Linked DNA regions of Mus musculus. The protein of the gene in region 2 interacts with the protein of the main gene of each other region in a pairwise test. Links are inferred from orthologs where the notes say so. Each region holds a gene or a part of one and is shown on either strand. Other genes may lie near its edges.

Region 1 (7,558 bases), on a different chromosome or scaffold from region 2:
ACAAGGTTTAGAGATGTAGCTCAATGGTAGAGCGAGCACTGGCCTAGCATGTCCCTAAAGAACAAGGTATTCAGAGAGAAGACACCTGGTTAATGGCTGCCAGGGCAGGGTTGTCATTTTCTTCAATAGTGTAGTTACTGGTAAATTGCTCCAGTAGATAACTCCCTGCCAACGTTCATGCAAGCAACCCTAAACAATGTAGGCCTAAAAGAAAGACAAAGAGAAAGAAGGAAGAAGACAAGATAGGAAAGGGAGATCATAGAAGGGAATAAAAGAGGGCACTGGAGATGACTATGATATAATATACAGTACATATATATGTATGAAACTGACAAGTAAATGTTTAAAATGTACAGAATTTAACAAAGAAAAATATACACAAAATTGATAAAATAAGGTAATGTCTATCTTACCTTAAGACATGAAATTTTTCCTAGATTAGATATACAGAAAATCATCAACTACAAGTTATCAACTTCTATAACTACTGTGAAAGTCTGGTATTTAAATTCAAAATCATGCATTAGGTCTCAGAAAAACATGTGTTACTCAAACACTGGGGTCAATGGCAAAGTCTATGTCTAATTTATGTAGTCTCTAAGACTTTCATTCTTTTCACAGCTAAAAATTAAAATTTGTTTGTTTGTTTGGGGTTTTTGTTTGTTTCTTTATCTAGTTTTCTGTTTCTCAGGAGAGAACTAACAGAAAGATAAGAGGTAGAAAGGGGCAAGAGCCTTTGAGGAAGACAGCTCAGTCTATAACATACCTGCAGCAGGAGCAGAAGGACTTAGTCTAGATTCCTAGCCCCCACATAAAATTCATCCTGGAAGGTTGCATACATCTATAATCCCAGCATGGGGAGAGGGACAGCAGATAAAGGTTGATTCTGCAGTTCAATGGCCAGCTAAGCTAGTCAGCCAATGAATACTGAGTTCAGTTAGAGCTGCTGAGGCAGGTGAGTGTGTGGGGAGAGAGCAATAAGCAGCTACTTAATATCTACTTCTGGGCTCTACATACACATACATGTGTGCACCATACACACACATGCACAGGAACTAGCAATAATCTCAAAGTAGTGAAAAACACAAATTAAGCCAAGTATGGTAACAGATGTCTCTAATCTCAATATTTAGAATTCAAAAGACCAGAGGATTATGAGTTTAAGGCCAACCTGGGCTATAAAACAAGACTAATCCTCTAAATAAAGCCTCTAAAAAAATTAATTTATTTTTGGTATTTTGAGACAGTCTCATCTAACCCAGGCTGGCTCTGATCTCCTGTCTACACCTCCCAAAGCTAGGATTAGAGTACACCAGCACACTGGGGACAGGACCCCTTAAAAAAAGGCTCTAGAGTACCAACAGCCAATGAGGACATTAACTACTTCATAGCACAAAGGAAGCCAATAAGGAAATTACAGGTAATATAATGTCTTTTTTAATAAGCAATATAATTGTTTAGAAATCATCATGAGCATATTTCACAAGTTCCCCACATGCACAGTATCCTTTGATCATCCATCCCTATCATCCTCTCATATCCCTCCTCCTCCCACTGAGTTCCAGCAAACTCTTCCACTGACCACCCAACACATTTCCCTCACTGAGCACCTCCTGCCCAGCTCTGAGCCCAGGCTCTGACGGAGGCTCTCACCTTCTTTATCTCTGTCCGGTACTCATTGTTATGCCCTTCCATCCTCTTCAGCTCTTCGTATTTTTCCATTAGTTCTTGGCTCAGCTGTTTGCATGTTGCACTCACAGATTCTAAACTGTATGGCAGAAATACAACCATATATAAGTAAAATTCCTGAAACCCATAAGATGGATTATCTAAGTGTACCCTCTTGATGCCCAAGATACCTCCTACTAACACCTTAAACCTCATACCCGTCACGAGAAGTCATTTGCAATTCCCCTATCACTAGATGCAGCAAACCCATCTCAACACTGAGGTAGTTTTGTCTTTCGTGTTTTCCTCCACTCCCGCCCCCTGATTTAAACTTTACTGGCTACAGAATTATAAAGACACCAGCCACTTTACTAACAGTTTTGCTCTAGCTGTATGGGTTTCTCTAGCTCTATGAGAGAGGGAAAGCCACCAAGAACTGTCACAACAGACTCACACTTCATCACCCTTAGCAACACACAGACACACTCCACACTATACAGAACCACACTATACAGAACCGCAAGAACTCTTTGAAGAGTCCCCAACTCATTGTTCTTACTCAAGACCAATCTTTCTGAGACTTAGCGCCACGGAGGCAGCATGCCTCTCACTCCAGTGCTCTGCCTCTTTGTAGCAATGCAATCGTCCCTTCACCACAAAGCACCTCCTCCCCTAGCCCATGATGGCCATTAGCTTCTCAGGAACCAAACTGGCACTGGCCTAATTACAGTCACTCCAGTCCTTACTCCCCTGTTCACCTTAAATAATTCAATTTTTACAACTTGAAGGCAAATTTTTCTAGAAATTATCTACTTTAAATATGCTCATTTAATTCCCCAAGTCCTTTAAAATGAGTATTTTATCTCTGAAACTGAAAACTCTATGGTTAAAATATTTTACTTCTTATGCCTGCCAAACTTAGCCATTAGCCCTCACGTGCTACAGCATACACCTCTAAATTATTCTACAAATGCTTAGTACTATATTATTTCACAAACATAGCAAATTTGCCAGATAAGTTATTATTCAAAAATATCATCTTTGGGAGCTGAAGAGATGGCTCAGCAGTGAAGAGCACTGGTTTCTCCTCCAGAGGACCCAGCTTCAATTCCCAGCACCCACATGGCAGCTCATAACTGTCTATAATTCCAGTTCCAGGGTTTCTGATACCCTCACACAGATATACATGGAGGCAAAACACCAATGCACATGAAACAAAAATAAAATAAAATAGAGATATCATCTTTGTAGTATAACAAAAGCCCTGCCCTTCCTGGTTTAGGTGCTGTTCAAACTAAACACCACACTGTTTAGAACAGTCTTTTTGTCCACTAGATTTTTCAAAGAAAAAAACTGAAGCCATTCTTACTGAATACTGTTATTTATTCATTCTAATTTTATTTCCAGAAATTCTAGAATTTTTATTTATCTATTTACTACTAGTATATGGTTACAATGTGCTAAACACTGAGACTAGCAGAGGAGTAAGATCAGAGATCACATTGTCCTAGCCATGCATGGGAAAAGCAGGACCTGAGGGGCTAAGGTGGTCAGTGCAGTGCTGTGCAGTGCTGTGCTGGAGTCAAACCAGAGGCGCAACTTCTGAGCCTGACAAGAAGTCCATGAAGATTATCAGAAAACCAACTGGAGGTCGGGGGAGGGGGAGATGACAACTATGATTAAAAACAAATTTTTTTGTTCCAATATCAAAAGACTAATAATCTTTATTTAGCACTCATGGTGGGTGGAGTACACCTTTAATCCCAGCATTTGGGAGGCAAAGGCAGGCCAATCTCTAAGTTCGAGACCACCATGGTCTACATAAAGCAGTTCTAGGACAGCTAAGGCTACACAGAAAAAAAACTGTCTCAAAAAAACAAATGATATCAATACTAGTAATAGTAGTAATAATAGTAAGTTTTGTTTGGCTCAGTCTAAATAAAGCACATATACACACACACCTCAGTAGAGATCACAAGTGCCCCACACACTCTAAAAGGCCTACAGCAGAGGGCTGCACGAAACACAGCACACTGAGGAGCAATGTATCAAGACAAGCTAGAAAGTGTAAAGTGGCACTTCTTCTTGTTATGTTTGCCTAAAGGCAAAGAGCTTATGTAAATATTTTATCTTTTACCCACACCAAAAAAATTAGTATACAAGCAATTATAATGAGTTTAAAACAAAATATCAAACTCTTCCCAATAAAAAAGTTTACAAATGTGACAAGCAAAATAAAGTTTGTAACTATGGCAAAAAATAAAATAAAACAAAAAGCACTACCTATCACACTATGCCATGCTATGCATGCTATGCTAGAATATACTATGCTACCAAATACTATAGATTTGCCATTAGCTAGCATTCAATTCAAAGCCAAGAAAATCTAAATCACACCATAAACAAGAATGAAGGAAGAAAGACATGCCCACTGTATCTTCTCCAAGAACAGTTTCAGTGAGGGAATACAGAAGAAAGCTGAACTGAATGGGGCCTAAAAGGCAAAGGGTGAAGTGGGAATTATCAGAATACACAAGTCTTCAAAAATTTGATTCTAGGGCTGGTGAGATGGCTCAGTGGTTAAGAGCACGGTCTGCTCTTCCAAAGGTCAGCAGTACGATTCCCAGCAACCACATGGTGGCTCACAACCACCTCTAATGGGATCCGATTCAATGCACACACTTCTGGTGTGTGTCTGAAGACAGCTACAGTGTATTCATATAAAAAAAGATAAATAAATAATTTTTTTAAAAAAAGATTTTGACTCTGAAGAACAGAGAAAGAGGAAATATTCTGATGGTTTAAAGGGGTTTAATTGTTTTCAAAATGGAAAAAGCTCCCAGAATACTTTCTGTCCATATAAACCATTCTGAAGAAAGCCCTAAAGAGGACGTCACAGCAGGAGCAAGTCAGCCTCAGACACGTCCACAGAGCACAGGCTCAGATGAAGGCCAACTGGCAGAAGGTTAGGACAGTGTCTTCTGTATTTTCAATGAACTAGGGAGTGAGGCCATTTGTGAATGCTAGAGAAAAAACAACTTCATTTCACCAATGCACTGTTTTACTCAATCAATGTGAGAATCAAAGTTCATCCTAACAACTTCAAATTTTCAATGTGTAGCTAATTATCTACCTGCCTTCAAGACGCGTCACCTCTGCCTGCAGGAGTTCTTCACTGCTGTGGCTGAAGTCCAGCTGGGAGAGCACATTATCCAAGACTCCTTGCCCTGGAGAGCTGTACTTCCTTTCCTTCTGACAGTCCTCCAGAGGCCTAAGAACAGAAGGAGGGGGAAACAGGTCTCTCTCTTATCCTGGCAAACAAACAATGCCAGCCAGGCTGTTGTCCCAACTATTCTTTTAACTAAGCTCCTTAGAACTGGTCAGTTTGTAGCCTGCTTTGGGGAGGAGGGGGAATACCTGGAGAACAATCCAGGGTCAGCAGCAATTTAATCTTTACTAGGGTTTGGGGTGTGTTTCAAGGGGAAAAGCCGCATAAAACAGCAAAACCATTTTGTTAACACTTGAATCCTTCTATCAGAAAAACTTTACAAGACAGTCTGGCAAGAACAGAAGCATGCCTGACTTACACAAAAGGAAGCTCATTTACTCTATTATTTTTTACTATAACCCTGCCCTAGCAATAGCCCAGGGCGGGAGATTTATAGCTTAGTTGGTAGAGAATTCCCAGGGCATACAGGAAGCCCTGAGACTGGGTGGGGTCACAACACTGATAATCCCAGCACTTAGGAGGCAAAGGTAGGAGGATCAGGAGGAGTTCAAGGTCATCCTCAACTGCACAGTAATTTTGAAGGTAGCCTGGGGTAATGCATAAAATCCTATTTCAAAACATAGTAGTAGTAGTAATAATAATACAATAATAATGATAACAATAAAGTCAGTTCCCAAAGGGCTAGCTAAGTGACAGGCTGTTACTGATGGCAAGCAACTACTTTCCACCATACCTTAGTCTTCTAAGGCAGAGAGGCCCTCCAAGTCTAACAAAGAGAGATAAGGAGTTTCCAACCTTATGATCCTCAGAATCTTAGAGACTTAAATGAAAAGGAGACAAAACCATCCATACAAATTTTAAGACAATAAAAATCTAACTCATAAATTAAAGTCAAATAAGACAAGATGATCAAACACAGAAATGAAAATATTCGATATTAAAATCAGCATTCAATGCCAAACTGTCAAACAGGCCAGCAGACTAACATTTACGGTTCAAACAGACCTTTCTACGGACTGCTGAGTGCCAACTGCCTTTAATGTCGTTTGCAGTTTCTCCTGCATTTTTGCCTCAAGGATGAAGGTTTCTTGAGATTGAAGACTTGCCTTCAACTCTTTCTGTTCTTCCTGCAGAGCCTGCAAAACACTCAAGAAAAAAGACAGATATTATTACAACTTTCCTTTAGCTCTCTCTTTTTCCTGCAGAGACTGCAAAATACTCCAGAAAAAAAGTCAAATAATATTTCAATGCTTCTACTTCATGAGAAAAGCAACCAGGAAGGCTGACTGCAAGTTTTATGACAAGGACAGTATGAATACAGCTATCAGGAGCTGAGCCACCAGCCTCAGCCCAAGAAGGAAGCTGGGCATCCAGGACCTAGTCCTAGGGCATGCATATACCTCCCTAAGTTACTCATTCTAACACACACCTCTAGTAACTTCTCAGATTCCCTTAGTTTCTCCTCCTTCTGCCGATGGTCCTGCAGGATAGTCATATTGGTTCCCATCAGGTCGTTGACCCTTATGTTAAGGCGCTCTATTTCCAGCTCATTGGCACAGATGGTGTCCTTAGCCCGCTCAAGCTTACTGTTCAGGTGTTGAATTTCTGACTGGCTAGATAGTTCCACGGACTCTAATTTCTGTTTCCGGTTGGCAAGCTGAGCCTAAAAACATATAGGGAAAAGAGAGTTGATAGAAGAATAATCAATAATTGTATTCACTGAGGAAAGAAAAGATTCACTCCTAGGAAGGCTGGGCTATCAGCAGGTTTTGGACATTTTCTTTTAGTGGCATATCCTACTGAAGTCTATTCAAATAAAGCCACTTCAGCAACTGGCTCAGGACCCGTGGAGTACAGTGTCTAACCTTTTGGCTCTGCATGCCAGCTGAAGTGTTTTTGGCTTCTCACATTCTGTTTTTTTCAAGTTTTAATTCAGTATCCAGACTGGTTTTTTATCTATACATTAAAAATGGACATAAATCATTTGTAAAGTTAAACTTCCCTTATTTTAAACATTTCCTAAAGGAAAGGCACCCACTTGTATTTTAGAAATTCAAGCAGAAATATCTCTGTGGAATCCATCTACTACAGATTTAAAGATTCTGCTGTACATAACTGAGGACCAAACTCTTTTGCCTTACAATATGGTGACACAAAGATGAAAAAAAAAAAAAAAAAAAAAAAAACGGAAACAAAAAGGGAGAGGCAAAGATACAGACAAATAATTTTGTGTAAATTAGAGCTCAAGGCCTCAGAGTAGAGGCAATTTGTTTTCCACCAGATCCCTAGAATGGCACGTGAAAGAAGATTCAGGACAGGGTCAACGCTAACCACTATGCATGCAATTGGCAGAAGACTTTCAAAAACAAGAGGAAATCTTATACAGAATCCTCTGCACAATAAGTAAATGTAGAGATTGGTTGAAGGTAGGAGGAGAAAATGGCTGTGCTCCGTTGCTGAGCCTCAGCTCACCCCATCCCTCACCTGCCCACCAGCCCTGGAGCTCACAGAGCACAGCTGGGAAAAGCTGTCCAAATGAGTGGCCAGGAGGCACATAGCCCAAAACCTCAGCACTGTGACACTGTATAACACTGTGGTCTGCATTCAATGCTGGAGCTTTAGCTGTGTCAGCAACTCTGTAACCAGGTAGTCTCCATTTGT
Region 2 (8,334 bases):
TTTAAAAAAAGGATACAAAAGAAAAAAAATCCAAAGATACTGTAAGCTTAAGAATGTCTCCTCCTCATTCTTAACACAAATTTATTTGTACACATTATCAACTGAGCTAGATTCTCTAAACAGAGACTTAAATGAGTATCTTTGTTTGCCAGGCCAGCCAAATGCCAAGAAACAGCTGCTTGAGGCCCTTCTTGGTACTTGGCGAACTGTAAGGTGCCTTCACTAATCTAGAAGCAGTTACATGCCACTATGTATCTACAGTAGGAACATGGAGACACAGCGGTTAGGAATCACACTGTGCTAAGAAACAGACTATGGATAAAAACATTTTCTAACCAAAGGTCAAATGCTTTGGACTCCACAAATCTGGCACCTGTAAGTGAGTGGTTTAGGACAGCCTCACACACATTTCCTAGGCACTTCAAGAAAGAAAAAGTCATGTGACGATGCAAGTCTTTGCTTTTGCTTGTGTTTAAAACCACTGAAACATGCCGAATATCGTGGAGGAAGGAGGGCTTGGCATCGGTTTGCTCCATGGAAAAATTTCGTTGTAATCACCCAAGGCAAAAGCTCACAATCAGTTTGGGTTTTGTTGCTTAGTCAGGGCCCAAATGTGCAGAACGGACAATACCTTTTCTCTGTGGCTTATGAGGCCAGCGTTTTTTGAATCTCAGATTTGCAAAGCAAGAGGACTAACATCCACAGATTTAAAATGGCTTGCCTGGGAACACACTATCAAAGAACTGGTTAGCACCTACAAAGCTGTGTACTAGCTGATTCTCAGATCAAACAAACCAACTGGCAACCAGCTGAGATACAGGTTTTAGTAGCAGATAGGAGAGCAAGCAGAGCAGTAGACAGTATATAAACAAGGCTTTTGGCACCATGAATGAAAACAGTCAATCCTTTTGCTTCAACTACATTCCATCAAGATCTTGGCTCTACACGTCAGCCTTCAAGTTGATTAATTCAGTTCCACTTGTTAGTGCAATTCTGCAGAGGTGAGCACGACTTAAGCATCAAGAAAGCAAGAGATCCATACTGCATTGCATCAAACCCCAGAAATGCAGAGCAATGCTGGGCAACTTACTTCTTATGCTCCCCACATACTATCTTGCTGGTACTTACCTTTCAACCTGCAAAATTCAGATGAAAAGGGTTTATAAGTGCAATATCTTAAGATTCAAGACAACAAAAGGTTATAAACCTTATATAATTAACTGGTCTCGTTTATAAAAGGGGCCTGCCTTGGATTTATGAGCTATAATCATTAGAAAAACCTTAAATTTCTACATCCCACTTTAAAAGTATCAGGACAATTTTAAGCAGTTGTTTTCTTTCTTTCTTTCTTCCTTTCTTTCTTTCTTTTTTTTTTTTTTGAAAAAGGCTCAATGTTAGCAAACATTGAAACACTACACATAAAACATACAAGAATGTTGTTTTGTGTGTGGGGGTATGTGTGTTCTGTTTTTCAAGACAGGGTTTTTTGTGTATCCCTGGCTGTCCTGGAACTCAGACCAGGCTCCTTCAGAGATGCTGGTCTCTGCCTCTCAAGATCAGAGGTGTGCAGCACCACACCCTACCAGAGTTTTGGTTTTAAAGAAAGATACTGAGTTCCATTTCATTCTCAGGGATTATGGTAGAGCTAAGTCAATGGGAAAGGAGATAAACCCAGGTGACAGCACTTGTCCAACTGGAAAACACCATTCACACTATATGTTTTCGGGTAATTTTTCTGAATATCTAAAGTAACTTACTCCCTTGGTTCTTAGGAACCAAGCAGCCATCAATTACAAATCAGCAAACATCACATGCAAACACCAGGATGGCAATAAGAGACCAATATACTCATGCCTTAAGGAGAAACAGAAAGGTAGAAAACAGTAAACATACAACACTTCTGATCATGTGGCCAGCAATCCCAACCAGACTGTCACCAACCTTTCTACTTAACAGAAAGGTCGTGTAGGCAGGGCTTCCCCTTCTGGGGATCATTCAACCTCTTGGACACCAATGTGTCTTCACTGCAAGCCAGGCAAAAACCCAAAAGGCAACACATTTTCTGCATGCTGGTCAAATACCTGAGCTCTGCGCTTACGAAACGATGACAACATGTTGAAGGAATGTGGACTCTAAAGAGGAAGGGGAAGAGCAAGACAACACACTTCTAAGGGCAACTGGGATAGAATCACTTTAAAGTGAAGAGAACAAATCTGTGAAAACACATGAAAACAGGTAAAAATCAAACGGCACTGCCCCAGCATCAGAATCCCACCAGAAATCTGAGCTGTAATCAGGGAGCCCAGGCTTCTGGGAATGGACAATCACCATCACCTAAATGTGCTGCCTTGGCCAATTCATGCTCTCTCTCAGACCCCAGTTTGCCCAAGAATTAATTTTTTTTTTTTCCGAGACAGGGTTTCTCTGTGTAGCCCTGGCTGTCCTGGAACTCACTCTGTAGACCAGGCTGACCTCGAAATCAGAAATACCCCTGCCTCTGCCTCCTGAGTGCTGGGATTAAAGGTGTGCGCCATTACGCCTGGCTCCAAGAATTAATTTTTAATACTGAATGTTCTTTTAAAAATAAATATGCCTCTTCTCATCTACATTCTGATGAAATAGGGATCTTGGGGGCTTTAGGCATTTGCATTGTCAAAGTAATTAAGTAAAAAGATAATTTCATGAAAGCCTAAGTGTAGTAAGGAATTCAAACAACAAAGATTGACCTTGGGGCTAGTTTGCTGGTGCAGTACCTTTACAAAATACAATTATTTCCTACTCAAAACAAGTGTAAGCAGCATGTGTAAGAGATGTGAAAGGTGCCACTCGCTGCACGGCTGTTCCAGCCAGATGGCTCTCTGGCCAGCTCTGCGGACCTCTGCATTCCTGGAATAAGCATTAGCCATCAGATCATGGCATTCCCCTGTAAGGCCACAGCTGACGAGCTGCAGCAGACCAAGAGGCATAGACTGGAGTTCTCCAATAGGCAGTGGGCACTGGTAACAAAGGCAGGCTGCCCTCAGAGCCTCTGTCCTTAGTGCACATTCCACAGACCAGACTCGGGTAGCTATTCCTAAGAGCCATTTCTCAGTATCTGTAGAGGCCCCACCTTTGAGATGAAAGCAGAGAAGAAAAAAATAATAGAAAATTATAATCCAGGGAACTAAAAGATACACTTAATATGACTCTCCCTGCTTAAACCTGTTCATTAGATTACTTGACATCAGATTTCTCCAAGTATTAGATTACTACAAAGCATACAGCCAAGGCTAAAGGCACTACCAGAGAATAAGCCGGCTGCAGCAGCTCCTGCCTGCCATAGGTCCAGCTACTTTGGAAGCTAAGGGTGGAGAAATAAGCTTGAGTCCAGGATCTGAGACATATAACAAGGCCTCCTTTCTTTTAAGAGGGGTAAAAGTCCAGGGTGGTGGCAGCCAGGCTTGTTGGCAGGAGCAATGAGTTCAAGACCAGCTATACCCAACTACATAGATTCAGGATGAGCTACGGGTCAAGATCTTGTCTCAAAAGTAGGGAATAGAATTGCATATCTATATGTCTCCAGGCCTTGGGTTTATCATAAGAACTGTTTCACATTTGTCTGGTATAGGGCAAACTTTGAAATCCATCCTTTTTATCTAGGTCCCTGGATAACAGTCAACACACTTTGAGGGTCCCTTTGAGGAATTAATGACCCAGTTACTAAAAAAGGCTTATTGTTAATTTCCTGCAGGGGATCTACTGCAGCACATTTTTTTTTTCCAACTTTGACTTCAATTTGACCTTTAAAATCTAAGACATTTAGTATGAGTGGGAACCTTGGCTCAATGGCTTCATGCAACTCACTGTTGCTAGTGCTATTCTTAAGCTCTTGTTTCCTGGCTACAAGACACCCCCACCCTGCCATCTTTGATACATTCTGTTTTACTTAAGTCCAATTGCTATGACAACGCAATTTCTGAACACATTATTAAAATACTTCATATGGTTGGTTTCTCTTGTATTCCTTGACAGTCATAATAATTAGCTTTTTGAAAATACCAAGGGTAAAGAACAAACGACTTAAAATGTTTTGGGTCTCTATATAGAAAAACCTGATTATCTGAGAGGCTGAGGCAGGAAAATCCTGAGTTTGAGGCCGGCCTGAGCTATTCAGCAAATTCCAGGCCAGCTGGAGTTACACTGTAAGAGCCTGTAGAGAGAGGGACAGAGACAGAAACAGAGAGATGAAAGTCAACAAAGCCCTATGAAGTGTAGCAGTTCGAAATGATTTCACCCTTTCTGGGACATTCATTTAAAACACACCGACCCTTACTTACATAGAAGCCCTCTTGATGTGTGTGTGTGTGTGTGTGTTTGTGTGTGTGCGCGCGCGTGTGTGCATATGTGTGTGTGTAATTCTAGTACCTGAGAGGATTTTAAAATCAAATTTTTCCTGGAGAAGCATTTCATCAAATTTGCAGGGATAGCTTCAGACAAAAGACTGTTCTATCACTTCACACTGGCACAGCAGTAGAATTTGACCAAAAAAAAACCCCCAAAAAACAAAAAACCCAGAAGCCTTCGACTTAATGTCTTATATAGAAAGAAAAGAGCTGTAAGCTATTAAGTTATTTATTGGATTTGGATCTCCTCCAACCAAGCGGCACCGCATCTAACTATTATACTGGAGCAGGTCGGCACTGGAGAGAAAAGACATTTATTACCAGGAAAGAAAAAGGAGGCCTTTCTGCGGCCGGAGGGCCCGGGACCGCCACACAGGATGAAATTAAGGTCAGCGAGCCCTTCACTGCAGACAGGAGGCTCCGAGAGGTGCGAGCGCCGCAGTTGCGGGCGACGGGCGGTGCGGGGGCGCTCGCGGGTGGGTGCTGCCGAGGACCACCCCCCGCCACCTGCCGCGACGGGTGGGGCCGCGGGCGCAGGAAGGGGCCTTCGCGTACCTTCGGCGGACCGTGACACTCCAGGTCGCCGCCCGGCTCTGCCGCGCCCCGCAGCCCACGCGCCACAAAAGGCGGCGGCGGGGGCCCACGGAGCCGCCCGCGAGGCTCCGCAGCTCATCTGTCCACATCGCTCCGGTGCTCGGCCTCCCGCGGCCTTTCCCTTCCCGCCCACCGCCCTTTCTTACCGGCTCCTGGGGGTGAGGGGCGTGGGTCGCCGCGCTGAGGGCTGCTGAGGAAAAAGATGCGCCGCCGCGGCCCCTGCCTCACGCCGTTCGCTCCGCAGCGGATAGTGACGGCGGCGCGCGCGCACTGTGGCTTTTATAAGCGGCCGCGCGCGCCCCCGCGGCGGCCGAGCGCGAGCGTGAGGGAAGTGCCCCGGTTGGCGACGCGAGAGGCGGGACTCGCTGCTCCACTGCAGTACGGAGAGGACCGAGCGCGTCCGGAAGGAGCCGAAGCTGCGGGGCGGGGTGGTGGGGGTTGGGGTAAAGGACGGGAACGCGCTTGCGAGGGGTGCGGGGCGCGGCACAGAGCGGAGCAGCCGCCGCAGCCGCCCGCCGCGGCGTGGGACCCGAGCAATCCTGCCCCGCCCAGTCCGCCCTGCAGAGAATCTGTGCCGCACCCCTCCGCCCTGGGAGCCCTTCCGAGACTGCGGCGAAGGGCAGGGCGGGGCCCGCCGCCGCAGTCAGGCTGGGGATGTTGCTGCCCTGGCCGGAAAGACGCCCTGTCCCTTTCGGATGATCTCACTGGAATGTTGGCTCCCTCTTTGCACTTTTTCTGGGGGAGGCTTGGCTCTGGAAGACCCAAGTCTGCCTGTTCTGGTGGGGGATGGGGCCAAAAAAAAAAAAAAAAGATGATATAAGGATCCGTGTTTGAGGAGGTGGTAGGGAAAAAAATCCCGGTTAGGGAAAAAAAAAAAAAAAAAAAAGACTGATTTGTGGCGTAAGACTTTATTTCAGGATATGGAGAATTCTTCAGCAATCTTCCTGTTGCCAGTAGACAGAGTGTATTCGTCCCAGTTGATAAACGACATTACTATTTCTTTCCCCAGTATTAATTGAACTTTGCTGTTTAGCTGACACCGCACGTGCTTTGGGCTTTTAATCTCTGCTCTTATTTTACAAGGTAGATGTTGCCTTTCCCATTTTACAAATTAGCATCCTGATGACATAGAAGGTAGCTCTCTCCCCAGGTCAAGCACGAAGCAGCAATCAGAGAACCTAAGATTTGAACACAAGCGTTAAGCAAGTGGGTGCTAGACTTCTGAGAAAAGGAAAACACAATTTCTGTAATTTTTTTCTTATACACAACCCTTTTCAGGGCCTGGCTCTGAACTAAACTCTGTAGCCAGGCTCCCCTACTGCAAAAGCTCTTTCCCTTCCTCCATTTTGGGTGACAGCTGTGTGGCAACCATTGGAGTAGCACCCAGCTCATTCCTGTGTAGTCAGGCAGCTCTGCCAGGCATCAGCCTCCTGGTTACCAAGCCACCCTCCTATTTAAATAATTATAAAGAACTGGGCATTGCTCCAGAACTGGGATGAGGCCCAGTCCCAAGCTTCCTGGTCCTCTGCACTTTGGTTTCTGCTGAGCCTAGGATCTGCAAGGTGACTTCTAAGCTACTCTGACTGTAGGCATGATGGTGAAAGAACATTCCTAGTCATTTTCCTTGGAGAGGAGAGATTTAAAAAATAAAAAAAATAAAATAAAAAGGGAGTGGCCACAGCTCAGCGGCAGCTTCACAGACTCCTGAGATCCAAAAGGCAGGTGCTTGGAGGACAGCATTTAATGCCATCTTCTTTACAGAGAAAACTGGTTGAGGAGCTACTTCCTGGACTGGGCTTTTTTTCCTTTTCTTTTTTGTTTTTCCAGACAGGATTTCCCTTTGTAGTTTTGGCTGTCGTGAAACTTGCTCTGTAGACCAGGCAGGCCTCAAACACAGAGATCCCCCTGCCTCTTTCTCCTGAGTGGTGGGATGAAAGGCATGCAGAAATGCTGTGCATTTCTGAAAACAGCTGATGGTGACCATAGTAACCACCTCTTCAGTCAGCTGCAGCAAATTTAAAACTCAGATGTTCAGCACTGGGTACAAAATGGCTAGTATAACTTAACTCTCCACAATGTCTAAGACCTGATACTTCGGTGGCAAGGGCTCTCTGGGCTGGGCTCCATACTGAAAATAGGGGTTCTACTGTTTCTCCCAAATGCCAAACAAATCCAAGACCTAAAGGGAGCTCTCTTCTGACTGGGAAACTAAAATCCTGCTGGTTGGTCCATTTTCTGATCGGAAGAATGGTCAGGATAACGGCACCCACAGGCACCCACCCTGTTCTCATCTGGCAGGAGAAATGAGCCATCAAAAAGCCATTGCTCATGGTTTCTATTGTTGCTCCCCTCCCTCCCACCAATTTCAGCGCATGCCTCACACTATTATGTGTGGGCATGGGGAAGGGATATTGCAGATAATAACCTTGTTTTTAATGAGAACTTCACAGGGACAAAATAAAGCAAGCACAGCCCAGTGTGACAGCGCGGTTCCGCTCCACGTTCTTGGCCACACCTCTACTGGCCTCCTTACAAGCAGAGAATCCAAGAGAATTCTAAGCTTCTCTTGATTACTGCAGCCCCTAGACTTAAAACTCTAGCTAGCCCTGGTCCCCTGTTCTAAAGGTCAGTTGTTGGTTGGGGAAATATGCTAATTGTTACCTGTCCACTTCTCTACCGCTATCCTGCACTCTCTCTACAAAGTCAAGTGCTTGTATTATTTTTTCCTCCCTGTAAAGCTGATTGGGAAGGATCATGCCCAGAAAATTACTTTCCCCAGAGCTGCAGGAGCAGAGCTGGCAAGCCAGTCACACAACTCTTCCAAACATAGTGACTATGTAAAACCTGAGGGCATTATGCTAAGTGAAACGAGCCAGACAGAAGGACCAATATTAAATGATTCTGCATACCTTACAATCTGCAACTGCTGGGTCTCAGAGATAACAGTACTGGATGGGGGAAAGGGGGAAAGGACCAGTTTCCATTTTGGAGGAGAAAGTTCCGGCAGTCTGGGTTGGGCACTTCTGAACACATTCTACCATGTAGACTATTTCCTAAAACATTTACTACATTTATTCATGTGTGTTATATGAAGGTCAGAGGGCAACATGCACAAGTTGGTTCTCCTTGTGGATTCTGGGGTTCAAACGCAGGTCATCAGGCTTGGTGGCATGTACCCTTCTTAACCCAGAGCCATCCTGGAGTACTGGGATTAACGGCATGTAATTTTTTTGTTTAAGATAAGGTGCCAGCTGTGGCCTAGTCTATCCTGGAGTTCATGGCAATCCTCCTGCTTCAGCTGCTTCAGTGTTATGATTGCAGGAGGTGGTACCACCATACCCAGATTTTCCTGCTAAGC
Region 3 (7,558 bases), on a different chromosome or scaffold from region 2:
TGATGGCCTTCCCCAGCTTTCTGTAGTAGCAGGTTAGCTGAGGGTGTAGGGAGTCTAGGTCAGCATGAAGACTGAGAAGACCAAGTAAATGACAGCAGCACACTGTGAGCATATCTGCTCTCAGAGCGTCTTAACAGGAAAAGAAACAACCATAGTAACCAAGCCAGGCCAGAAGCTGAGCAGACCTTGCATCATCAGCCAGTGTGGACCAGGCATTCCGGGTCTTAGTCATAAGGTGGGACAAAGCCTCAGACAAGGAGCAACACAAGGTTGCCAGAATAGGAACTTGGCCTCCAGAAGGAGGAAAGCAGTCTAGACCCAGGGTGAGTTCAGTTGTTCAAGCTTGAACCTAAAGCCTATGTAGTAGTGACCTGTGTGCTGCTGTAAGACAGCACCATAAGCAAAAGCAGCTCACTCACTTTGGCTCCCATAGAGCTTGTCATGGTGGGAAGGGGTGGAGGCAGGAGCAGAGCACCCCCATAACACACTTCCTGCAGCAAGGTCACGCCTCCTAAACCTCCCCCAACACCACCTCTAACTGGTGACCAGGTGTTCACGTAGCCAGAGCTGTGGAGGACATTTCTCATTTAAACCTCCACAGCCTTGGCCAGGCTAAGAGCAGAGTCCCAGAATGTTGGGCTGAGGCATTGTGAAACCTGCCTTCACCAGAATGAGCAAGGCAGAGGTCAAGCAACTCCTTTCTGCTATGCAGACACAAGTCTGCACCTGAATGCTCCGTCCAGGGATGGGGCAGCTTGGGGCACTATAGGTGGCACGTGAGTCCACCATCTCACTCTTCAAGCCAGTCTGACTGACACCATGCTGAAACTGGACTTGAGAATGAGACAGGTGCTGTGGCAGGGGCTTTGTCTTGCTCTGCTTCTTGCACCTTTGAGCAAGTTACCTAACTTCCTGGGCCTGGCTTCCTTGGTGGTCCCAAGTCCTTCCTCATGGGCACTCTCCTAGCTGTGTGAGAATTACAGTTGAAATCTAGGTTGAGTAAAAGTTGTCTGGGAATTGCTCTGATCAGGCTCCCATAGGAAATAACATTTTTTTTTTTTTTTTTTTTTTTTTTTGGTTTTTCGAGACAGGGTTTCTCTGTATAGCCCTGGCTGTCCTGGAACTCACTCTGTAGACCAGGCTGGCCTCGAACTCAGAAATCCGCCTGCCTCTGCCTCCCAAGTGCTGGGATTAAAGGCGTGCGCCACCACGCCCGGCTAGGAAATAACATTTTCTGTACAGAAGAAGAGGAAGACCACTAAGACCCTGGGCTTCTGGGAAGTGAGTGGCTAAAGAGACTACCTGCTGTCTGAGGTGTAGATTCACGCTCACTTCACCCAAAAGTGGAAACAAAGCTGTTTGCACAAGCCACTGGTTACACTTACAAAGGGACGATGCGCACTGGCCCTCGGGAATGATCAGCTCTTTCTTGGGTTGGAGCTGCAGCCTGGATTTCTCTTTAAATATGGGTCCCAGCACTAGCCCTCCTGAGAACAGGAGGTTCAGCAGTGGGACTCTATCCTTTCAGGTCCAAAGTGGGTATGGCCTAGGAGCTTTCATGGTGGCCCAGAACAAAGGGAGCCGTGCAGGGTTGCACTGCCTCTTCCCACAGCCCCAGACTCCCAGTGTGAGTAACAGGTCCAAGGAGGGTCCACCCCACACACGTGTAGTTCCTAGGTTCCATCTGGCCTTGATCGTCACCAGCTGAAGGTATTAGTCCTTCACTCATGATTCTTAACATACCAGGGTTGGGGTTGAGGAGACAGTGGCAAGTGGGCAGACACAGCAGGTGCTGTTTAAACAAAAGCAGAGTGGTGTGAGCAGAACTTAGTTTCCACTGTGCTTCAGAGGGAGAGCCACAGGAAACAGAGAGAGATAAAGGTGTGCAGGTGCTTCACGGGTGTGAGAGCCCACTGTTAGAGGCAGGCAGGATCTCTCCTCTGGGCTCTGGAGGGTGGAGAGGGTGCCATTACAGTTCTGTGTTGGGGCCCTTCTTCCCTCCTCTGACCTTTCCACTCTGCATCTCTTCCCTACAGGCCCCTCCACACAGCGTCAGGTGCAGAATGGCCCCTCTCCTGAGGAGATGGACATCCAGAGAAGGTAACCCCACGTCCCACAGATGTCTGACTGAAAGCTCCCCAGTAGAGCTGAGGCCACTAACAACAGGGGCAACAGAGGATGCCTGCACATGCCACTGCAGACTAAGGGGACAGGTCCATCGCCCACAGACTCATACTTCCCTAAACTCCTTCTGAAGCTTGCCTAGTAACCCTGTGGTTCCAGGGAGCCCTCTAAAGGACTAAAATGAGGCATAGCTTCCATTTCTCCTGCCACCACAGTGGCTCCAAACAGCCAGACAAGCCCATTGGCCCACTCACGCCACTGAGTGAATTCAGTTGGCCAGAGGGTCACACAGGTTTCTCTGAGGTATTTACTACTCAGTGTGTCCAGCTCATCAGTCCTCTTCCATCTGTCTCTGTCTCTGTTGGAGGCAGCCCAGGGCTACAGGAAGGTTAGCTCAGCCAGTGACGTGCTTGCAGGGCGCTGAGTAGAGCTCCAGCACTCTTTTGTTTTGTTTTGTTTTGTTTTCCTTAAAAAGTTAGATGTGGCATCAGCCACTTGAATACCAGAGTTTAGGAGGCAAAGGCAAACAGACAAACCCTGGTGTTCATTGGCCAGCCAGCCTTGCCTACTTGCTAAGTTCTAGATCAATTAGAGACCCTTTCTGAAAAGAAAAGGAAAGGAAAGGAAAGGAAAGGAAAGGAAAGGAAAGGAAAGGAAAGGAAAGGAAAGGAAAGGAAAGGAAAGAAAGCCGGGCATGGTGGCGCACGCCTTTAATCCCAGTACTTAGGAGGCAGAGGCAGGCGGATTTCTGAGTTCGAGGCCAGCCTGGTCTACAGAGTGAGTTCCAGGACAGCCAGGGCTACACAGAGAAACCCTGTCTCGAAAAACCAAAAAAAAAAAAAAAAAAAAAAAAAAAGAAAAGAAAAGAGAAGAAAGTGGGTGGTGCCTATGACAGCACTCAGGGTAATCCTTTTTCCTCCACACAAACAAAGCCCAGTGTTATGGGTATGAGAAGTACCACAGCAGCAGCTTTTAAATGTGGGAGCGTGGGCACAGAGAGCTCAAGGTGTCTGCTGTGATTGCTTTCCAGACAAGTAATGGAGCAGCAGCACCGCCAGGAGTCTCTGGAGAGGAGAATCTCGGCCACAGGTAGGGGAGACTCCCTCCTCCAGCCCTGTCCGAGGCCCTGACCCCCCAGTGCATCCTCATGGCAAACCACCTTACCTGCTTTTCCAACACCCTGTCCTCTCAGCTGCTGCAGCACCTCCCTCCCCTCCGCTGCCCAGGCCTCTGAACATGGCTTGAGCAAGTCTAGTTCTACCAGCATGTCTCCCTCCCATACGTCCCATCCTCTTGGCTCAGCACTACTTCCTTCACTGTCCTGACATCACCTCTCCTGTGTGTTCCCAGCTCTGTAGGGCAGTCATCCAAGAGCTTCAGCTCCGACAGGCTTCCTGTGCATACTTCTAGTAGAGCGAGCCTTGCAGCACAAGTCTGTGTTCTCCTCTGTGATTTGTTGGCTGACCTTACTAGACCAAAAGCACCCTGAGGGTCTACTCCCCTCAGTGTATGGCACAGTGTCTGATTCACTGGAGGTGCCTGACTAGGTGCATAGTGGAGGCCAGCCCTCGGTGGTTCCTTGACCCAAATTCCTGGTCATCTCTGGACCCACAGTTCCTTACCTCTTAGAGACCCTAGGATCCAAGTACAAGTCCCACTTACATCTTGAGACCAACTTCAGTCAGTACCTAAGATGCAGCCAAGTACTTATAATGGAAACCGGCACTGCCAGGAACTCCTCACACACACTGGAGAGGCAGGAGCAGAGCAAGAGGAGCTCTGCTGTGCTCAAGGGTGTTAAGTGACTATATGCCAGTGTAGCCAGCACCCAATGCTGGGAGATTGGAATAGGAAGGGATTGTAATGGGGCTGGGTTCTGTAGGGCCTTCCTGAGACAAACTCTTCTGCACCTCATCTCTGATGAGCAAGCTGCCCTCCAATCTTTTGAAGGACCCAGAATAAAAACAGTAGCTGGACACCCCTAGGTGTTGGAGACTGACTCCTCCCCTTTGCTTTTCAGGGCCCATTCTCCCCCCTGGGCATCCCTCATCGGCAGCCAGCACCACTCTCTCCTGTAGTGGACCTCCACCCCCGCCTCCACCCCCAGTTCCACCTCCACCCACAGGGTCTACTCCCCCACCCCCACCCCCACTGCCAGCTGGAGGAGCCCAGGGGACCAACCATGATGAGAGCTCTGCATCAGGACTGGCTGCTGCTCTGGCGGGAGCCAAGCTAAGGAGGGTGCAGCGGGTAAGAGTTCCTGTCAGGGTAGGCAGGCCAGCCACCCTTTACGTATCACTCTCATCTCTCACCCTGTCCTCACCTGTTCATCAGTGAGACACTGAGCAAAACTCTCTTCCCCTGGATCAGCTCCCAGCTGCCTTAGTTAATAAGTACTGAATCTGCCCTTGCTTTTCCCGTGGAATGTGCTTCCAGTTGATTCAGCTCCCCACCCCGGGTGCACATGCTCCTGGAAAGATCTGCAGATAATATAAGTCTGCTCATAAAAGAATGCTCTGATGCATATCTCTGGCTTGAAAGTTGCTTCCCTCCTCCCTGTAACTAACTGGCTTTGGCAAGGACTCATGCCTGTGGGCCTACCAAGCCTGTCCCTGAGCCTCCCTAGATTCTGGTTTTCCGTGGACTTGAGAGTGTTAAACTAGCAGCCTCACTCCTAGGATCTTTCTGGGTCAGCATCTGACACACACTTCTTCCTTACCCTCAGCCAGAAGATGCATCTGGAGGCTCCAGTCCTAGTGGGACTTCAAAGTCCGATGCCAACCGGGCAAGCAGTGGGGGAGGTGGAGGAGGCCTCATGGAAGAAATGAACAAGCTGCTGGCTAAGAGGTGAGTACAGTGCCTCCTAGAGGAAGCCACTGTCCTCAGCTGAATGTCATTGCTAAGACACATTTAGGGGGCCTAGAACAGCACCCGCTGCACTTGAGAGACAAGCAAGGGGCTGGAGAGATGGCTCAGCAGTTAAGAGCACTGACTGCTCTTCCAGAAGTCCAAGTTCAATTCCCAGCAACCACATGGTGGCTCACGACCATCTGTAATGAGATCTGATGCCCTCTAATAATGTGTCTAAAGACAGCGACAGTGTACTCACATACATGAAATAAATAAATTACAAAAAAAAAAAAATTAAAAAAAAAGAAGAAAAAGAAACTGAGAGACAAACAAATACAACACAGTCCCAGAGTTTTAGAGCACTGCCTACAGACACCCCACTGCCCCCAACACTGCTTCTGTAGGCAGCGTTAGCCTTCCCAGACCTCCTAAACAGTCTAGGCAGACATGAAGCAGCCTTCACAGAACAGTATGTTAAGGCCTGCAAGAGGAAGAGACGGGTCTCACAGAAGAGGCTCTACCTGTCCTCTGCTTAAAGAAGTGCAGTTCCATGGGCTGAGGGTGGCAGAGGTGCCAGCCGGGCAGTGTTCAAGCACAGGCTGAGAAGCCGGCACATGGAAGAGTGGAGGAGGCCAGCTGGAGAGGAGGCTGAAAGAGTGCCTCACTGCCCAGCTGGATCTCAGAGCTGAATAGGGCTTCAGATAACAGGAGAAAACATTTTAGAAAAGAAAATGTTTGTACCCTCCTTCAATCTAAGACCAGTGAGCTTAACAACTTGGCTTGGATGATGTATCCCAAAACACAGGATCTCTAAAAACAGGAAAAGGTTAGAGTTGCCAGGAGCCAAGCAGACGCCAGGTGCTGGGGGGGTCGGAGGTGGGGTCCAGGCACTAAAAAAGCAAATGTGCCTTGCACAGTCTGCAAGGAACAACCAAGCAAGTCTTTGAAATCTGCTTCATGAGATTAGCAGTCCTGCAGCTTTTTCTCCTGCTTCTCTTCTAGCAGGGCTCCACCTACAGTGGAGAAGTCACAGGTGAGCACCTCCTGAGGGCTGCTGTGCTGGCACAGGCACATACGTGCCTCTCAGGAGGCACTCACCAGTGTAGACTGCAGTGGCTTGGTCTGTATTGTCTGTGTGATGGAACACATGCCCGATCACATGTTAGGCAAATGACTACCTCTGAGTAGTCCGCACAGGCGTCCCTCTGATTTTAAGAGATGGAATGTGGCTTCTGGGCATCAGTGGGCATCATGGGGTAAAGCGACTAGGCAGACCAGTGAAGAAACCTTTGTCACCCAGGAAGAGGTGATGACAGCTGCCGTGGAATAGGCAAAGGTTAAGCTAGGCCAGAGTGGGAAGAAATAGAGAGAGAGAATTGATGAACTTACTGGTCCTAGTCTGTGGGAGGAATAATTTGTCAGAGGCCAGTTTCCACAGGTCAGGGGAAACTGAGGCAGGTGTAGAATCAGTGATTGATCATTCAGCAGACTTTTCTCTGAGGGCGGAAACTTGATTTACTGGAGCCAGTGAGAAACTCTTTGGAGCTGGCAAAAAAAGGAGGAGAAGATTCACACACACACATACACAGACACACATATACACACATACACACACACATAAACACACACTCACACAGACACACATATACACACATACACACACACATAAACACATACAGACACACATACACAGAAATACAAACACATAAACACACACACATACACAGAGATACAAACACACAGACACCACACACATACATATACACACACACACACATATATATATGTATATGTATACATATATATATAACAACTATTTTTTCTTCCACAATTTATATATCCTAACAAAATCTTTCAAATGGTACAAAATGAATCACAATGTGATTACCTTCTATTTTTCATTAAGTGATCCATTACAGTGAGTATTCATAGAAAAACATATTTACCAATACTCTCACATGAATAAACTTTTCTTAGAACAGGTTAAACAGTACAGGTTTAAAACAACAACAACAGATTATTCCCAAGAACCCACATGCATTCATAACTAAGCAACTTGTTATAGATTAACAAAATAAAAGCAAGCAAAATAATTTTCTCAGCCAGTTTCTCTTACTGGCAGGCTGCAATTTGCAGTTACAAAGAAAGAATTATTATTTATCTTTAAAAATAATGATAAAATCTTAAGAGAATCATAAATCTAAACTTTTATGTAAAAAACAGTCATTTTTATTTTAAGTCCCCAGGGTGCATCTACTCATTAACGATTTTTTTCATTAAGTAACATCAGGAAGCTAGGGCAAAGGTGAGTACAAGAAATTAGTCATCACCTTGCTCGCCAGCCCAGCCTCGGGAAGGAAGAGGTGCATCAGCTAGGACCAGTCAGGCTACCATTGTTTCTTGTTCCCTGTCCTCAAAAAAATTCCCTCACTCAACTATTAATAGTTTTACTTTCTGACCTTCAAATTGTTCCCCAAGGCCACTAACAATCTATATCTCTAAATTCCTTCTAAGGGTGGTGGTTGAATCGTTTATCTGCTCCAGTATCGATGCTTGACAAAGCTCCATTATTATTACTGTGAGT
Region 4 (8,339 bases), on a different chromosome or scaffold from region 2:
ACCCCATCATTAATCAGGAAAGTGCATTTCAAAACCACAGGCAGATACTATGTCACGCTGCCATCCTGACAACTAGTCTGTCAGAAGCAACTGTTGATTAGGGTGTAGAGAACACAAGGTAACCAACCACACTGCTGTGGGAATGAAAAGCATCCCTTTTAAAAATAACTGCATATTAGAGCAGAATCCACATCCAAGAATCTGCCTTAAAATAATTTTGGTGTGTAAGCACAAGACAAGCACAAACACATTCACAGACGAGTTGTTTAAACAGCAAAGCTCAGGCACAAACCTACTGCTCACCCTGGTGGGGTGGGTATGGGGACCATGGGACACTCACAGCGGAGCTTGCCATGGCAGTGACTATGATGGTGTTAGAGCCTTGTGTAAGAACAGATTCAACTCATGGCCAGCTGTGCTAGCAGACTGCGTAGGCGGGTGGAGCAATATAAACTCCAGGCCAGCTGGAAATACAGAGTGAAATCATGTCTCAAAAACAAAACAATAAAAACTCCAGAATAAAACGAAATTCTCATGAATCTACTGCTGAATGGGAAGGGTCACAAGGAATTTTAATTCAATTTATTAAACGTTTAAAGACAAGTAAATGGAAATTACACATGGGGAATGTGGTAAGATGCAGGATCCCAGACACTGACCACTGGAGAGCAGAAAGGAATGGGGTAAAGAAGAGCTGTTGTCACCCTACACTGCGCACCCGGAGTCCTCCTTTTCCCTTGTCAGCCACCTTAGACATACACTATAAAAATTCTCTTACAGCATCCAGCAATCAATATTAACAATTAAAATTAACTTATCAGCCCAATAACTCTCCCAGTTATAGAAACAATGAGAGTATGACCTAAGGAAGGTATCAAGTACATATTTTTGCTTAATAACCACCTACCTGTGGCACACAGAAAACAGTTCTTCTTCTTCTTGCCAGCTTTGCAGACATTCACGATGCTCAGCAGGCGTTCATCATTTGGTGTGAAGATATCTCTCTGCAGCGCATGCTTGATTGCTGTCATCTTTTCTCAGCTGAAAAACATTTAGAATAATTCTCAAAACCACTGCCCTCCCTCATAAAGTGTTCCATTTATGACTTGAACGATACATTCTTAATACATAAATATATTAATCATCTACAACATAAAAGCATGGGGCTTCAAGTTTGGAAATAAAATCAGAGAAACCAGTATATATATATATACACACACACACACACACACACACACAAGATACTACCCATATATACAAATATGCAAGCACACACACACAAGTACAAATAACCAATAAATATACTAAAAATTATTCATTACAGAGCTGAGGAAACAGCTCTGTTGGTAAAGTGTTTCCTAGTACGTGGAGGACACAAGTCCAATCTTGTTTAATTTCTAGAGCTCACATAGCAAGCAGTGGGGAAGCAGAGACAGGCAGATCCCTGGAGTTCACTGACCAGACAGCTTCACCCATTGGTGGAATGCCAATCTGGTGAGACACCATGTCCAAGAAAAGGGGTATGAATGGTACACTGAAGAACACCATGTGCAGTTGCCCTTGGGTTTTTGCAAAGATGCATACCAGAAACCCCAAATATTCCATACCATTATCCACCTGGGAAATGCGACTGAAATCCACAGTGAGATAGCTACTGCTTTCAACTGTTGGGAGAGCTAAAATCCCAATGGACACACAGCAGCACTGATGAAGGAAACTCCCACACAGCTGGGAGGATCACAAATGGTTCGGAGGCTTTAGAAAACAGTCCGGCACTTTCTTCTACAAGTCAAGCATGCAACTACCATTATGAGCCAGCCCCCATCATACACTAACTTTAAAAATGCCCTTCAGCTAGATCTTTTTGGAGGCATCTTCTCAACTGAGGTTCCCTTTCAGATGACTCTAGCTTGTGCCACAATGACCTAAAACTAGCCAGCACGCCTGTATTACTCAGGGGTTCTCTTCCTGCACAAACATCAGACAAAGAAGCAAGTTGGGGAGGAAAGGGTTTATTCAGCTTATACTTCCAAATTGCTGTTGATCACGAAAGGAAGTCAGGACTGGAACTCAAGCAAGTCCGGAAGCAGGAGCTGATGCAGAGGCCATGGAGGGATGTTACTTACTGGCTTGCTTAGCTTACCTTCTTATAGAACCCAAGACTACCAGCCCAGGGATGGCACCACCCACAATGGGCCCTCCCATCCTTGATCACTAATTGAGAAAATGCCTTACAGCTGGATCTCACGGAGGCATTTCCCCAACTGAAGCTCCTTTCTCTGTGATAACTCCAGCCTGTGTCAAGATGACACCCAAACCCAGCCAGTACAATGCCCCTTAATATGTCCTAGGGCCCGGATGTGACATTAAAGCTCTACTCCATCTTACGCTATGGAAACTGTCTCTGGGCTTTGTTCACTGTTTCCCTTTTTCTCAAATTCTTGTCACTGCAAATTCCAACTTGCCCTCAAGGATTCTGATAACACACTGCCTCTTCTTTGAAGCCTTCTCTCCTAGAAAAACTCCTCTTCTGTCCCCATCTTACCTCTGCTGACTACAGCTCTTCCAACCTGTGTTTTATAGCTAGCGCCGTCTAGCCTCTACTACTCCGAAAAGTAGTTCTCTGTTGGCAAGAACCTTATCTTATCCATCTTTATATTCCTAGCATTTGCCGAGAGGCACACAGTGCACACTCAGTAAACATTTTAGGGAATACTGTCCCACTCAATAACAGACCAGGGATCGCTCCCTCAGAGTTACCTCTTTCCAACTTTCGCATCTGTAAGAGAATACCCAGATTCAAACTCTACTGTAATTGATTGCTTCCTCCATGCCAACGTGAAATCTGTGAGCATATCCTGTAACTTCTTCATCTACATATCCTATCCCTCTCCCCCACAACTTGCTGCCAACACAGCCACCAAGACTTACTGCCTTTAAGTAATAGCACCCGTTATCTCTTTCTTTTTTCTTTAGGCTTCTACAAGTTCCCTGAAAAACTAGTAAATAACTTTAAAGCAGTTCTCATTCTACCACACACCTGGTCAACAGCAACCCAGCTTTCTCAAGACATGCCTTGCACTCAGAACACTCTGTTCTTTCTTTGCTTAAGCACTTTCCCATGCAGGGCATACCACTATCTTTTCCTTATTCAAACCTACATTTCTCCATTTGTATTTAGTTGACTCAATGAAAGTCTCAATCCACACGGCTCTTTTCATGTAAATGTATAGAGCCCTTACTGTATTTACGAGGCAAATGCTTGCTATCTAATGGGGACATGAGTGTCATCTCCTAGATCTCCACAGCCATCTCTTGAGTAGTAGGAGGAGGAGGGGTGCTCTATCACAGGTTTGTGTGTTGGGTACTCACTAACAAGCTCTTGGCGTAACCTGCTTGATTGCAATAGTAAAAGCTGGCCAAAAGAACCATTAGCAATGGCCAATATTCACCATAGTACATGGTAAACGGTAAAAACAGCAGAGGGCTGGTCATAACTCATGAAGGAATTAGACATAAGCATTGCTACTATATTGCTATATTATATTGCTAATATAAATATTGCTATTCACTAAGTGCCAGGCAGCACTCTGGGGTATAATGGAGAATCTTTAAGACATGAACGGGTTGACGTAGCATTGTGATAGTCAGTCTTCTTTGGATCTAGAGATGAATTCTCCAGTGTTTATACTGAACTTTACATTATGCCAGTATTATTAATAGTGGCCTTCACAACTATTTCCCAGGTCTAAAAACCACGCCCATATTCTGGGTTCTCTTTAGATCTTCGCCTTCTAAAACCTCAAGGCTGCCCGTTACAGAGGCAGCTAACCTCGGTTCATTGTGTACATACATACTTCCTTCAGCTTAATAGGGCCATCGTTACACTGTGTGTCCATGCTAGTGCCTTAGTGGGTTGGGCCCATGTACTGCAGTGACATCTCAACTCGGAGACATGTCATCCAGAAAAAAAAACTGTTCAGAGGCTGGGCAATGCACTTAGAAGATTTATAAGGACATGTTATATTGATTCGGACCAGCAGAAGCCCAGGTCACGTCTTTCTCTTCCAGGCCACGCTAGTAGGACAAAAATGAAATCTGTCCCGGATGGGCGGAACTGTGGACAGAGACTTGGCTGCCTCCCGGCTCCGCCTTTTCCCAGAGCCCCGGACAGCACCGGCTAAGGAAGGACGCAGCCCGGGTTCTGCAGCCCCGAAGTGGAGCAGGGTGGGTGGGCCGGGTCACTGGGGAGTGGCCGACCCGGCGCGGATGCAACACTGCCTCCACTTAGGCTACCACCTCCAAGACCGCAGGTCCCCGGCCGGAAGCTTACCGCGAGGCCAGCCGGCCGGCCGAGGTTGGTGCTCCAAGACGGACTCAGGAAGGGCGCCGGCAGCAATAGCAGCTTTGAAGCACTTTTCATTGAACAGGGAAAAGCAGCGGCCAGAACCCGCCACTTCCCGTATCCGGTCACGTGTCTCTCTGCACCGGAAGTTGACCCTGTGGAGCCGGAAATGGAGACAGTAGAGGAAAAACAGATTGGCCAATGGACTTGGAGGAGGCGGAACAGCGCTTTGATGGATGGGGCAGAGGCGGACTGTGGGCGTGGAAAAGACAGGGGCGGGGCTTGCAAGCACATAGGCCAGTGATTCTCAACCTGCGGGTCAAACGACCCCTTCCTTCATAGTGGTCATATAGCAGATATCCAATATATCAGATATTTGCATTACAATTGATAACAGTAGCAAAATTACAGTTTTAAAGTAGAAATTAAATAATTTAATAGTTGGGACCCACTGCAACATGAGGAAAGGTATTAAAAGGTTGCAGCATTAGGAATGTTGAGAACTGTTAGCATAGGCTGATTTGAGGAGTTGATAATGGTGATGTTTCCTTTTTGTAGACGTACCCATTCTAATATTTGTAGCAACTCATTTGAGAGCGCATTAAATGTTCTCTCCTGTGCATATGTAAAACCCTGCTAACTAGATTCTTGGAAGAACTTTAGTGAGTTAAGTCAGATTCTCTGGGATAGATGTCACTAGTACCCTTAAGTTCTGGACACTTAATTCCCATAAACAGCTTTGGTCATTTACCCACTTCATACTCTACCCTGACTGCACAGACCTTCTTCTTGGGTGTTTTTTTAGAAACTTCACCCATGCCACCTCACATCAGATACTGAAATAGAATCTTTGTTTTAAAGGTGATGCTTGCTTGTTTCAGTGTGAGAAACATAAATGATGCCGAGAGTTCGAGCTATAAGACAAGTGATTCATTTAGGCCGCATCCCTGGCAGGGATTGAGTGCTGCAAATTTTGATTTCCAGGTTAAAAAATAAAAATTAAAAAAAGCCATTCAATTTTTTTATACTGAAGGAGTTCGCAATGAGGTAGGACTAGAAAAGGTGATTGCGAAGTTAGGATAACATACTCTACCAGGATGGTTTTCTTTCTTCTTTTTTTCTTTGCTGTTTTTTTTCCATTTATTTATTTACTTTGCATGTGGATCTTAGCCTACCCCTCCTTCCAATTCTCACCCTCCTTCCCAGCCTCTCCCTCATTCTCTGCTTCCCTTCTCTTCTGAGAAGGGGTGGGGTGGAGACCTTCTTGGATACCAACCCACCCTGTGACATCAAGTCACTGCAGGACTAGGCACATAGGATGAATTTTTTGTTGTTGTTGTTGTTTTGTTTTTCGAGACAGGGTTTCTCTGTGTAGCCCTGGCTGTCCTGGAGCTCACTTTGTAGACCAAGCTGGCCTCGAACTCAGAAATCCACCTGCCTCTTCCTCCCAAGTGCTGGGATTAAAGGTGTGCACCACCACCGCTCGGCATGAATTTCTTAAGAATATGACAGATGAGCTGTGCACAGTATTTGCACCGTTTATCTTAAGATAAAATTTTGGGAGACCTAGGAGAAATAATGAATAGGGACATGTTTGTTGCTACAATGATCAGCTTCTAGTCGGGGTTACTTGAGATGACTCTCACAGGATCTAGTTCTATATATTTGGATAGACTTCCCTGGTGTTTCCTCCTGAGCTCCAGAATGTTTGCCTTGGACATCTTAGCTGACAATTCCATTTGGGTGTTTTTGTTGTCATTTGGTCTTCCATTTTGTTCTTCCCCCCAACCCCCTGTACCTATGTTACAGCTCTCCTCACAGTTGAGAAGTGAGTGGTATTCCAGAAGGCTAGACTCTTCTGAACTCCTGAACTCCAGATTTTTGTATCCACTTCTCTGCCTCTGATATTTCTGTTTGGATAACTGAACAGCAATAATAATAATGATTATATAATATTTATATTAAATTATATTATATCTATACTCATCTGCTCATGCCCTCAGTTGGGTTTTAAATCTCTACACACATCACTTCAAAATGATGCCCAGACATGATGGCGATGGGCTAAACCTCTCAACCTGTAAGCAAGTTCCAGCTAAATGTCTTCCTTTATGAGAGTTGCTGTGGTCACGGTGTCTCTTCCCAGCAATGGGACACTGAGTGATCCAGGAGTGTCCGTGGATTCTGTAGTTCTGCCTTCAGCCTGAGGGTGCTGAGAAAGGATTTGTAGATTGGAGTAATGATGATTGGTGATGCTATAGTGTTGATGATTGTGGATATTGGCTGAATTAATGAGAGATAAAAACATCTTACTTCAGGCCACTTCTTCCTTTATATAAAATTGAATAATAAAGTGTGTTGATACAAGCTCTGCTGAAAGGAAAGATTCCCTGGGTATACTGAGTATTCCTAAGAGCTATCCCCAAGTGAGAGTGACATGCACTAGGAATTCAATGTTACTGACCAGTTAGTGTGATGTGTCAACCTATCTATGAGGCAGATCAAATCCTTCATTATGTATTTGGTAGACATAAAGAACTCCTATGTGGCTAGGGAAGTGAGTTGCAGAAGAGATACCAAAATGATGTCTTGAAAGTAAATGATGGGGGGGGAGTCTGAACTATCCATTCTTGAAATTATGTGTGTTTCCTGAACCTGGTCGACTTTTCTATTCCATTTTCATACTTCAACAGGTTGTTTCTAAAACTGCACCGGGGAACTGGTGGAACTAATAATATATCCACCTCATGAGAGATGACCCTTGTTTTCCCAGTAGAGAATTGTTCCCTGCTTCAGAAAGCATGTCTTGCAGAGCAGTGAGGACCTGTGTGACAACTCTTACTGTGGTTTTCTGGAGATTTCACAAGGTGCTTCTAGCCATCATAGATCCCAAGCCTTCAGATCTGTTGGGGCAAAAGGTTGGGTAGTAGGGCAACTTGTATGAGATCCCTTCTGGGCAACATACTTTGCATTAAGTTCATTCTGTCATTATTCTGGGAAAGAATCCAGTCACTCTTCTTTATTCTTGACAGAGTGAGTTCATTCTGACCCTCCCGCTTTACCATCCTTCTGACTCTCAGAACCCATTCAGCACTGTTCTGGCATCTTAGCCACATCTAGGAAGCACAATGGCTGTGTGTTAAAATTTACTCCTCCCGTCCTTGCCAAAACATTGAATGGCAAGTCGGCTGATGTCATCTGCTTCCTCTGGCCAGCCTTACACCTGTATTTATTTTTCTGACTTCATACTTTCATACATTCCACTTGTTCATATTGGCACATATTAGCCCATTTTTGCAGTATCCTTTGAGTTAGCATAGTTTGGTGAGTATCAACCTCAGGTGATTTTCAGTCCTTGAGGGACATTTGACAATGTTTTGAGACATTTTTGGTTGTCATTACTGAAAGAGGTCTGCTGACATCTAGTGGATACAAGCCAGAGTTGGTGGTGAACGATCTATAACATTAAAGATAGCCCTTCACAGCAAAGAACTATCCATTGCAAAAGGTCCCAGTTGTTAGAAGGGAGGAACCTTTGCTGTAGCTTTCTCTAGAGCAGGGCTTGCTGTTTCTCACAAAGGCTGGGCTGGGATAACTTGATTATGGAATCGAGGCAACAAGGAAGAAACGTGATAGGAACGGGAAGTGAAGGAGATAGAGTTATACTTTGAAGCAAGTTTCTTTGCGATGTTTCAAGACATGGGGAGACTGTTCTTCAGTGTCAAAAGGAGAGAGACATCGAAGTAGAGAAAATTCTGAGAGTTTAAGAGTGTGAAATATGACAGGAAAAGTATGGGCTCAGGACTCCAAGACCAAGTTCTCAGCACAAAGGAGATGTATTTATCCCAGAGGGACAGAGGACAGGGATAAGAGACAAACACAGGAGATAGACGATGAGGGAGAGGAGGAAGGGACAAAGGAGACTGAGGAGGGGTATTTGTCTCAGAATGGAAAGGAGGCAGAGTGCATGGGACATAGTGGCTTCTAAAGGTAA

What was found.
Region 1: the proteins of Sptan1 (region 2) and Cep63 interact in a two-hybrid assay, tested with the Homo sapiens proteins (2 studies listed by BioGRID and IntAct). The link is inferred for Mus musculus from reciprocal best matches to the Homo sapiens genes SPTAN1 and CEP63.
Region 3: the proteins of Sptan1 (region 2) and Evl interact in binary tests that used the Homo sapiens proteins (3 or more experiments, as listed by UniProt). The link is inferred for Mus musculus from reciprocal best matches to the Homo sapiens genes SPTAN1 and EVL.
Region 4: the proteins of Sptan1 (region 2) and Exoc1 interact in a two-hybrid assay, tested with the Homo sapiens proteins (2 studies listed by BioGRID and IntAct). The link is inferred for Mus musculus from reciprocal best matches to the Homo sapiens genes SPTAN1 and EXOC1.

Annotation. Positions count from the first base shown.
Region 1 is NC_000075.6:102,596,516-102,604,073, forward strand, and holds part of Cep63 (centrosomal protein of 63 kDa), read right to left. Parts: intron 6,561-7,558; coding exon 6,327-6,560; intron 6,044-6,326; exon of another isoform or gene 6,034-6,043; coding exon 5,903-6,033; intron 4,940-5,902; coding exon 4,802-4,939; intron 1,769-4,801; coding exon 1,654-1,768; intron 1-1,653. UniProt on the Homo sapiens protein: Required for normal spindle assembly.
Region 2 is NC_000068.7:29,962,574-29,970,907, reverse strand, and holds the start of Sptan1 (spectrin alpha chain, non-erythrocytic 1), read right to left. Parts: upstream 5,349-8,334; 5' UTR 5,123-5,348; intron 2,133-5,122; exon of another isoform or gene 2,115-2,132; coding exon of another isoform or gene 2,082-2,114; intron 1-2,081. UniProt on the Homo sapiens protein: Fodrin, which seems to be involved in secretion, interacts with calmodulin in a calcium-dependent manner and is thus candidate for the calcium-dependent movement of the cytoskeleton at the membrane.
Region 3 is NC_000078.6:108,671,253-108,678,810, forward strand, and holds part of Evl (ena/VASP-like protein), read left to right. Parts: intron 1-2,036; coding exon 2,037-2,100; intron 2,101-3,154; coding exon 3,155-3,213; intron 3,214-4,144; coding exon 4,145-4,374; intron 4,375-4,849; coding exon 4,850-4,971; intron 4,972-6,847; exon of another isoform or gene 6,848-7,558. UniProt on the Homo sapiens protein: Ena/VASP proteins are actin-associated proteins involved in a range of processes dependent on cytoskeleton remodeling and cell polarity such as axon guidance and lamellipodial and filopodial dynamics in migrating cells.
Region 4 is NC_000071.6:76,525,457-76,533,795, reverse strand, and holds the start of Exoc1 (exocyst complex component 1), read right to left. Parts: upstream 4,486-8,339; 5' UTR 4,334-4,485; intron 1,042-4,333; 5' UTR 1,032-1,041; coding exon 908-1,031; intron 1-907.